Linked DNA regions of Caenorhabditis elegans. The protein of the gene in region 2 interacts with the protein of the main gene of each other region in a pairwise test. Each region holds a gene or a part of one and is shown on either strand. Other genes may lie near its edges.

Region 1 (4,961 bases), on a different chromosome or scaffold from region 2:
GATGTTAAATTTGAGTGGTTGTCACAAATAGAAAAAAAAAGTATCGCTATTAATCTATTCACCAATACACTTTATTTTCAGAAAAGAACTCAAAGAATACCGTCAGCTGTTCAACATGTTTGACACTGACGGTTCTGGAGCAATTGGTAACGAAGAGTTAAAGCAGGCAATGATAAGCATTGGACTTCATGCAAACAAAGCTGAAATTGACAACGTCATCAAAGAGGTGAGCGCCATTGAACATGTCACTTTTTGACAATGACATTTCCTTGTCGACGCACTATTTTAGTTATTTTCACATTTCCATTTCTGCTCCTTTTTCACTTTTCCACTCTGCTACCCCTCGTAAATCGTCAAATCGTTCACTGCACCAGTTTTCGGAGAAAATTTCCAAATTGTAGTATGTCATGAGGAGTTCACTATAAACACAGTGATACAAAATTTGAAAGTTTTCATTCTTTATTCTTATCTGTGATATTGCCATACCAAACTGATAATTTCTATCAAAATAATGGGTTCAAAGCTGTCTTCTTCAAGAAAGTCTTCTAAATTATCTAATTCAACAGTTTCCACTCCTTCTTGTATACATAATAAGCTTATTGATCAGGTGGATGCTGATGGCAACGGAGAAATTGATTTTGAAGAATTCTGCGCGTGTATGAAAAAATCCCAAAACATCGTGAAGTCGACCAACGAAGAGCTTATCAGAGAATGTTTCGAGATATTCGATCAAGATAGGAATGGGATCATCACAGAAAATGAGTTTAAGGTGTGTGAGCGAACAAAGTTGTTTTGAAAATCTTCTGTTACTGCTGATCAATAATAAAACTTGAAGTTTGAGTTCGATTGAGTAGGTCCTTTTCTAATTGAAATACCACATACAAACCAGTAACTTACATCAATGAAACAATTCGTTTAACAATAAAGATTTACGATATTTCATTGTTTTCTATTTTCAGTATATTGCAAAAGAATTTGGTGACTTTGACGATGAGCTTGCCGAAAAAGTTTTTCGCGAACTTGACGTTTCTGCCAACGGTCATTTGTCTGCAGATCAGGTCTGTGTTTGTTTCAAAACATAATCCTTGGAAATGTAAACTTTCAAATGTTTCCAGTTCGCAACTATCGTTGAAGACTACTTGCTAAACGACCCCAAACATGACATTGACACTGGTGATTCTGATGTGGAAAGATACGACGACCGGCATGACGACCGAGCGAGCCCCATGCCAAATCATTTGTCTACTGTGCCCGAATAGATCTCTCTGGTTGTTTAATTATTTTTTGGCAGCTTTGTGAATACATGTGTTTTGTTGGAAGTTTGATTGTAATTCAAAAAAAACGTACTGTTTCTGAAGAAGCTGATTGGAGTTGGGAATGTTGTAGATAGCAGCACAGATTCCAATGGTGAAGAGGAGTTGAAATCCGACGATACCCAAGACTTTTCGGAGAAAAGCTGAAATGAAATAATTGAAAATCCCATTTAAAATAATTAAAAGTAGAGTAGCGCCAATCAAAAATTGAGTAAACCAAATTGGCTAAACTGTTCTAAAAATTATCAAATATCATAGAGTTTATTTCGAACTTCTACTGGTGCCACTCTACCATTCAAGATGTCGAGAAAACAAAGTATTTGTAAAAATAATCACAACGAAAATAAAACGGTCAAACAATATTCGTGATGTTTCTAATTAAAAGATATCTTATTCAAATTTATTTTCCTTACCAATACGAATCATTCTATTCGCTTTTCCGACGCATCCTGGAAGAATTCCATCAGCGTCAACAATTCCCGCTTCTGCGTGCGCCGAGCTGGCCATGCTCATTGGCCACATTTGTGGGTTTCTGTAAAAATTAAGAATGAAAAATCAGATTTGGAGTTTCAATATTTCATGTTAGGGTGTGACTCTTTTACAATTTTATAGAACTATGTGAGAACAAATTTTGAGAATTTCGATTTGGGACGTCACAAGTAACTACTTCTGACTGAAATGCTAAAAAAATTAACAAATATTTTCTCACCGCTTAACATGCACCTCGTCGTCGTCACTGTCGTCATGATCGGAAAGCAAGTTCACCTGAAAAAATTTTTTTTGAGCATTCGTAGCCAAAAAATTACACATGCCTTGGTCTATGAGATTTTTTAAAATTTATATCATGTACCGTATATTCCTCATTGCACGGAATTTTATTTTTCAAATGGTCATTTTGGCTGCAACTCTAATAAAGACTGCAATTCTTATTGTCGATGAATTTATTTAAGTTACAGAGTTAATTTCGGCTGATTTATTAAAAAAGTCACGTTGAAAACTTTTAAACAACTGTAAATCTGAGACACACTACATTATTCTCCAAGAGATCCAAACGTCTAAGAAATTTTCAACAATGTTTTATTTAATTTTCAACATTAACAAGGGATTTCAACTCTGATAGGAGCGCAGTTCTGATTGCAATGAATAATACTAACATAAAAATAAAGCAATTTATTTCACTCCTTTTCTAGAGAAATTTTGCTGAACTATTACAAAAAAAATTATTGGTGAGCCCTCCAACTATGATAGTTCATATAAACCTTGTGATTTAGTTGAACTGAAAGGATCATACAGTCGAAACTTTGTTGCTAGTACTTTTCGAACATTCATCAAATTTTCAAACATTCAGTACTCAAAAGTTAAATCGGTAGAATATAAAACATCCTAAAAGTTTAACAATTGGAACGTTTGTCATAAAATCCCGCTAGAGCATTTCCGTTATGAAACAAAAAAAAACAAAAAAATCAACTTTTTGGGAACTACCGGGAACTCTTCTGCATAAAAATAACTGCCTATGTGAGATAGGTAAATATATTTTTGTTAGTACAAACATCTCATAGTTTTCTACAATGCTTTTAACCGGGGTTGGAATTTTGTTCGGTTTTTCAAAAACTGATATATTGAAATCGAAATAAAACTAATGAGATCTTTTTTTCAAAAATAAAACTGTGTGTGAAGGGGTTATTCACATACCCTCTCAGGCTCGCGGAGATGGCTGTTGATTGTCGCCATGCTGAGAAGAGGTTCTGAAAATCCATTTATATAAACATGTATTATTAAATAAAAAAAACAACTAATTAAAAAGTGACTGAATGAACAAATCAATAAACTGGCAGTATGTCATAGACAAAAAAGGGAGAAGAACGGAAAAACTACCAACAACGAAAGATTTAGAAAAACAGTCACATAAAAGGGAAAAGAGGAAGAAAAAAGAAGCATATTGACGTGTGAGACAAACGGCGGAAAGTGCAAACAGTGTGTGGAAAAAGGAAACGCAGAGATCTGCACGTCAGCGGTTCACATTAGAGCGCGCTTGTCGGTTTTTCAGAATGAATGAATTATCGATGTTTCTGTTTCGACATCCATAAATTACATAAATTATATTTTGAACCTGTATATTATACAAAAAGTACGAAGATTTTCAATATTTTAGTTGCAACGTTTTTTTTAATCTGGTTAAATATCTCGCAAAAAGTTTTTTTTTCATTGAAATAGGACTATTTGTCGATTCCATTTAAATAAATCTACTTCAAAATTAAATTTTTTTTCAAATTAATTTTCTCTCACAAAAACTCAAAACGTCCAAATGTGTATTCTAACCAACCAATGGCAAAGGAATTAAAAGAAACAATTATGAACAGGTGATGTGAGCTGAAAATGAGAGGTAGCGGAAAACCAAAAAAAAAAACTCCTGTCGAAGGCACAAACTATGATTAAATTCTCAGTTGCTAAGCTACCGTTGGGTAGAAAAATGTATTTGCCTACTTGTCAGAAAATGTTGAGTAATACTTGGGAAAAAATCAATTTGAAAATAATAATGAAATAGTATTGATAATATTGCCACATTGAAAGGTAAACCAGTTTGGAAATACAGTCGTAACAGTCTGGTTGTTGTGAAACTTGGATTCAGTATTCACAATTAAAAAGGACAACTTGATAAACGATGACCATAATGAAAACAACATATAATAATGAAGTAGCTCGTTTTGCTTGAAAATGCGCAACGACATAGCTGTTTTCAAACAAAGAAGCATGTTGAAAATAATATGACGTCACGAATAAAAATTATTTCAAATTTTTCAGCATGAAAATACAATCAAGAAAAAAAACACAAATCACTCATACCTCGTTGCCGGATTTTATGATTTTTGAGAAGATACGACATTTAATTTTAGCTCAATCGGAGCGTTTTCTAAAGATCTTAACTTCAACTAGTAAAAAATGAAACAAACAAAAAATTTTTTCAAAACATTTTCGCATACTTTTTTCATAATCTGTTTCAGGTTTTAGGAAGTTTCGAGACCGGGTACCGTATTTTTGAGTGAAAAACCGCATTTTTTGACAAACAACTATAAAAAACATACTCATGCAAAATTCACAGTCATATTGTTTCAAGGGTGGTTCATTTTGTACATTTCGCTAATTTTTAAATTTTTTGGCTATTGTATAGTCCCGTTCTGTATTACGTGTCCATGATTTGATGAGAACGGCGGAGACGTTTGCTTCACCCTTCTCCACACGCTTTCTCGCCAGAGACGTTTTGATATAGCAGGCGAGAATAAGAGGTGCAGGTGCTTTTTGCGAGTAAAATGTGACAATTTTCATCATTATTCCATGGACAGGCAATGGACAGGTTTTCTTACACAGTCATAATACGACACAATCGCGGCTTGCACTAATTTCTCCTAGGTTTACTTACAGAAAAATCTATACTTGCTGCTCGATGTTTGCGTTCTCATCAACCGCTCTTAACGTTGATCCATGTCAATTGTCCTATCATCACTCATTTTTAGGTGAGAAAAATTTTCCAGCAGTTTTTCAATAGTGTTTTGGTTTCTCTCGTTACTTCCTCCTAATTGAGTAACATAACAGTTGTTCAGAAAAAAACTCTTTATCATATACCGTGCATTCTGCAGTAGAGATGCAGTC
Region 2 (3,356 bases):
CCTCAGTGAACTTGGCAATAGTCTCATCGAAAGAAGAGTCTGACTTGCGGATGATCAAAAAGTGGAACTTTTTGAGGTCTCCTCCGACGATTTCTTGAGCAGATTCGTGGGTGAACTCGGTCACGGCAGAGAGCTTGTAAGCGTGGAGCCATTGCTTAAGAGCGATGGTGTTGGTGATTTCAGCTTCAGCAATTGTGCTAGTCTCGCTGTCGTCTCCATCAGTGCGGATAAGAGCGACTCCATCTTCATTCAAAGATGCGGCAGCAGCAACCTCAGCAGAACCGGCAACGGCGAAGAATGCGTCATCGACAGAATCAGCAACTTCGTTGTAGATGGTAGCAGCATCAGATTTCGCGTCCTGAAAAATAAATAAATTAAATAGGTTGTACTTTTTATGTAAAAAAATACCTTGAAGTATCCAAGAACAACAACTCTGGTCTTTCCCTTCAATTCCTCGAGTTGCTCAACTGACTCAACAGTGGTAACAGTTGGTCCACTCTTCTTCTTGACCCAATCGACAATTTGAGCGGTGGCGCGTCCTCCGGTGTATTTCGTTGGCTTTCCACTCTTGAAGTAGAGGATAGTTGGATATCCACGGACCTCGAACTTGGATGCAAGAGCTTGGTTTTCGGTGGCGTCAACCTTGGCGAGCTTGATATCGGATCCTTCCTCCTTCAGCAAATCGGCGGCTTCGTCGTACTTTGGAGCAAGAGACTTGCAATGTACACACCATGGAGCATAGAATTTGACTAGAACAAACTCATTTCCATTGATAGTTTCTTCGAAATTGCTCTGAAAACAGTTTTTTAGAAGATAATGATCAGAATAAATGTTATACTTCAGTGAGAACAAGCACGTTTTCGCTGTCAGCAACAACTGCTCCGATTGATGCGACCAGGAGGAAGATAAAGGACACTGACAGTGACATAATTACCTGAAAATTTAAAAAAATAGTAATAGAAAATTTGAGGAAGTTATCATTGAAGAGAAAAGAGGTATAGACAACGATAAGTGTGCAAACAATACGTTAGCCATTACTTTGCGATCAAAAAAGTAGGGTATGAGTATTGACAAACGCAGTCAATTTTTCTTTTAAAAAATCCTCGTCGTTCACAACCTGCTAGGAAGAGTGCGAGCGACGAGAAGAGAAGGAGAATAAGCGCACGTTGTAAAACAGAGTAACGAGAGAAAGAGAAGAGACCGTGAACGCCCCGGCAGAGACAACGAGGACCGCGAAACTGCAAGACGAATGGACAGTGCAGTATTGACACGTCAGCATACGCGTGTACGGGAGATGTCCACGTGGACGTCACCGTGGCGACCTTTATGACTTATTGAGATGAGAGTTCGCGCATTTAATGGAAAATTAATTGTGTTCTAAACCTTAAAACAGTGAGAAAATGAACAAAACACATCGAACTGAAAGTTTGTGCAACTACAATGCTAAAGGAACGTCGACGGCCCGGAAATGAGAGTCTATTCGAATATAATTATGCTTATCTTCAACTTAAAATTATTCTGAACCCAAAAAATTTATTCGGAATGGGCAAGTTTATCAAAAAAGTTGTTTTTGGAACTAAAATTAGCTCAAAAAATGACTTTAAAAACTGGGTCAAATAATCACTCTTTTAAAGACGCACCGGATTTAAAGATATGGTCTCGAAGCGCTGTATACAGTGTAGTCCGAGTGGACAATCAAATACTTGTTTCAATGATTTCTAATTTCATTTTTTTTTGGAAATTCTTTTTTCTTTCGTGATTTTGTCACATACATATTACATTATATTCAGGTTTCCGCTATGAAAATCCCACTAATCCTGTTGCTGGTTGTTTCAATTCAATGTTTCTATGTGAGAAACCAGACTGAAGACTCGATGGCAGAAGGATTACGTTCGAAGGTGGGCTCAAAATGAGGATATATCAAAACACATAAATATTAAAGGATAATAGTATCGAATTGTTCGGTCAACGCGTGGAGGTGCCGTCGTGGTTGAATACGGCAGCTGAGAAAACAAGAGGAATGTTTGACTCTGTGACAGGTCTTTTCGGAAAGAGTACAGTAAGTATATAACATCGACGGTGGGAGGGGTCATATTGACACAACCGTTTTTAGGCCACGTCGCGCAGATCGTCGGACGGCTTGATGACAAATCTGAAGAAGGATGAGGCGACAAGGATTTGGTTTGCAGTCTATCTCAACATCATTCTCGTTGCTCTGATTTACGTTTTCATCACGATTAAGCTGGTAAAAAATGATTACACTAAAGATTAAAGCTAGATAATTGAATTTTTAGGCACTCATGTCACTGAGCGAAGGAAAAACTGAGCGCAAGAAACGGAACACCTTCAGTTCACACGTTGCCTACGATTCCCCCGACTATAATGTCCCATTGACCAGTATTGCAACAAGAGAGATTCCAAGAGGTCCCGTTCAAGATGAAGATTTCGAGATGGCTTTGGAAGTCCGAGAGGATGAGCAAATCGCCATTCCGAACCCTGATCTCCGCAGTGATTTATCCACGGAATTTGATGATAATCACTAGTTCTAATTCATGTTCAAAATTTTTGTAAATAGCATCACTAATCTATTCCAATTTGACAGGTTCCTATTGCACGAGTATTTCTTCATAAACACGGTTATTCGTTTTTTTTTCCTTTTTAGAAACACAAATCTGAAGAACATGAATTGCTTGACCTTGGTATTGGCGGCGATAACCTAGAAAGTGGGACAAGTTATTTCTTGCTGTCCACGTATCTTTGGATAAGGAAGATCATCAATGTTTCGTAACCTGTAAAACTAAGAGAAGAGAAAGACAAATATATATCAACTAATCTAAAAAGTTGCAGTCAGCAAGATGAGGAAAAAAATAAAATATATAAAGAAGTTGAATATCTAGAGGTTCTCAATATTTTTGTCAGAAAGTTTTTTTCTCATTCTCAAAATAGCATTGAATATTTTCTTATTAATATTTTTGCTTTAAAATAATAATATTAACAGCGTGATAGTTTTTTGGAACACGAATATCACATGCATGCGCATTTCGCAAGACTTCCATTCTCTGCGTCTCTCTCCTTCTGACTCATTTCTTCTCTTTAAAATCGAAAAATATTGTTCTCATCGACCCCAAATGTTTAAAGCGTTCTCATCGATAATGCAAAGTCTACAGTTCAAAACCGATGTTCCAGTGATAATGTGAGTTTTTTCTTAATTAAAATATCAATTTTTCACCTAGAATTATTTCAGAGATGCAGAAACTGTGCCGAACGAATGTTTCTCGCCAATTTTCCGAAGGCTGGACAAAAAATCACTTCTAAACTGCCAATTGGCTTGCCATCGATTCAATGATTTGATATCA

Evidence for each region.
Region 1: the proteins of C14B1.2 (region 2) and tmbi-4 interact in a two-hybrid assay, tested with the Caenorhabditis elegans proteins (one large-scale study listed by BioGRID).

What each region holds. Positions count from the first base shown.
Region 1 is NC_003284.9:9,148,791-9,153,751, reverse strand, and holds the start of tmbi-4 (Transmembrane BAX inhibitor motif-containing protein 4), read right to left. Parts: upstream 3,059-4,961; 5' UTR 3,045-3,058; coding exon 3,006-3,044; intron 2,079-3,005; coding exon 2,023-2,078; intron 1,846-2,022; coding exon 1,727-1,845; intron 1,457-1,726; coding exon 1,348-1,456; intron 1,339-1,347; exon of another isoform or gene 1,260-1,338; coding exon of another isoform or gene 1,116-1,259; intron 1,059-1,115; coding exon of another isoform or gene 960-1,058; intron 770-959; coding exon of another isoform or gene 608-769; intron 227-607; coding exon of another isoform or gene 82-226; intron 1-81. Other genes in the region: putative calcium-binding protein B0563.7, read left to right, coding at 82-226, 608-769, 960-1,058, 1,116-1,259.
Region 2 is NC_003281.10:3,700,528-3,703,883, forward strand, and holds C14B1.2 (Conserved plasma membrane protein), read left to right. Parts: upstream 1-1,732; 5' UTR 1,733-1,799; coding exon 1,800-1,898; intron 1,899-1,942; coding exon 1,943-2,059; intron 2,060-2,113; coding exon 2,114-2,245; intron 2,246-2,294; coding exon 2,295-2,543; 3' UTR 2,544-2,645; downstream 2,646-3,356. Other genes in the region: pdi-1 (Protein disulfide-isomerase 1), read right to left, coding at 1-358, 409-792, 839-928; C14B1.3 (F-box domain-containing protein), read left to right, coding at 3,129-3,193, 3,245-3,356.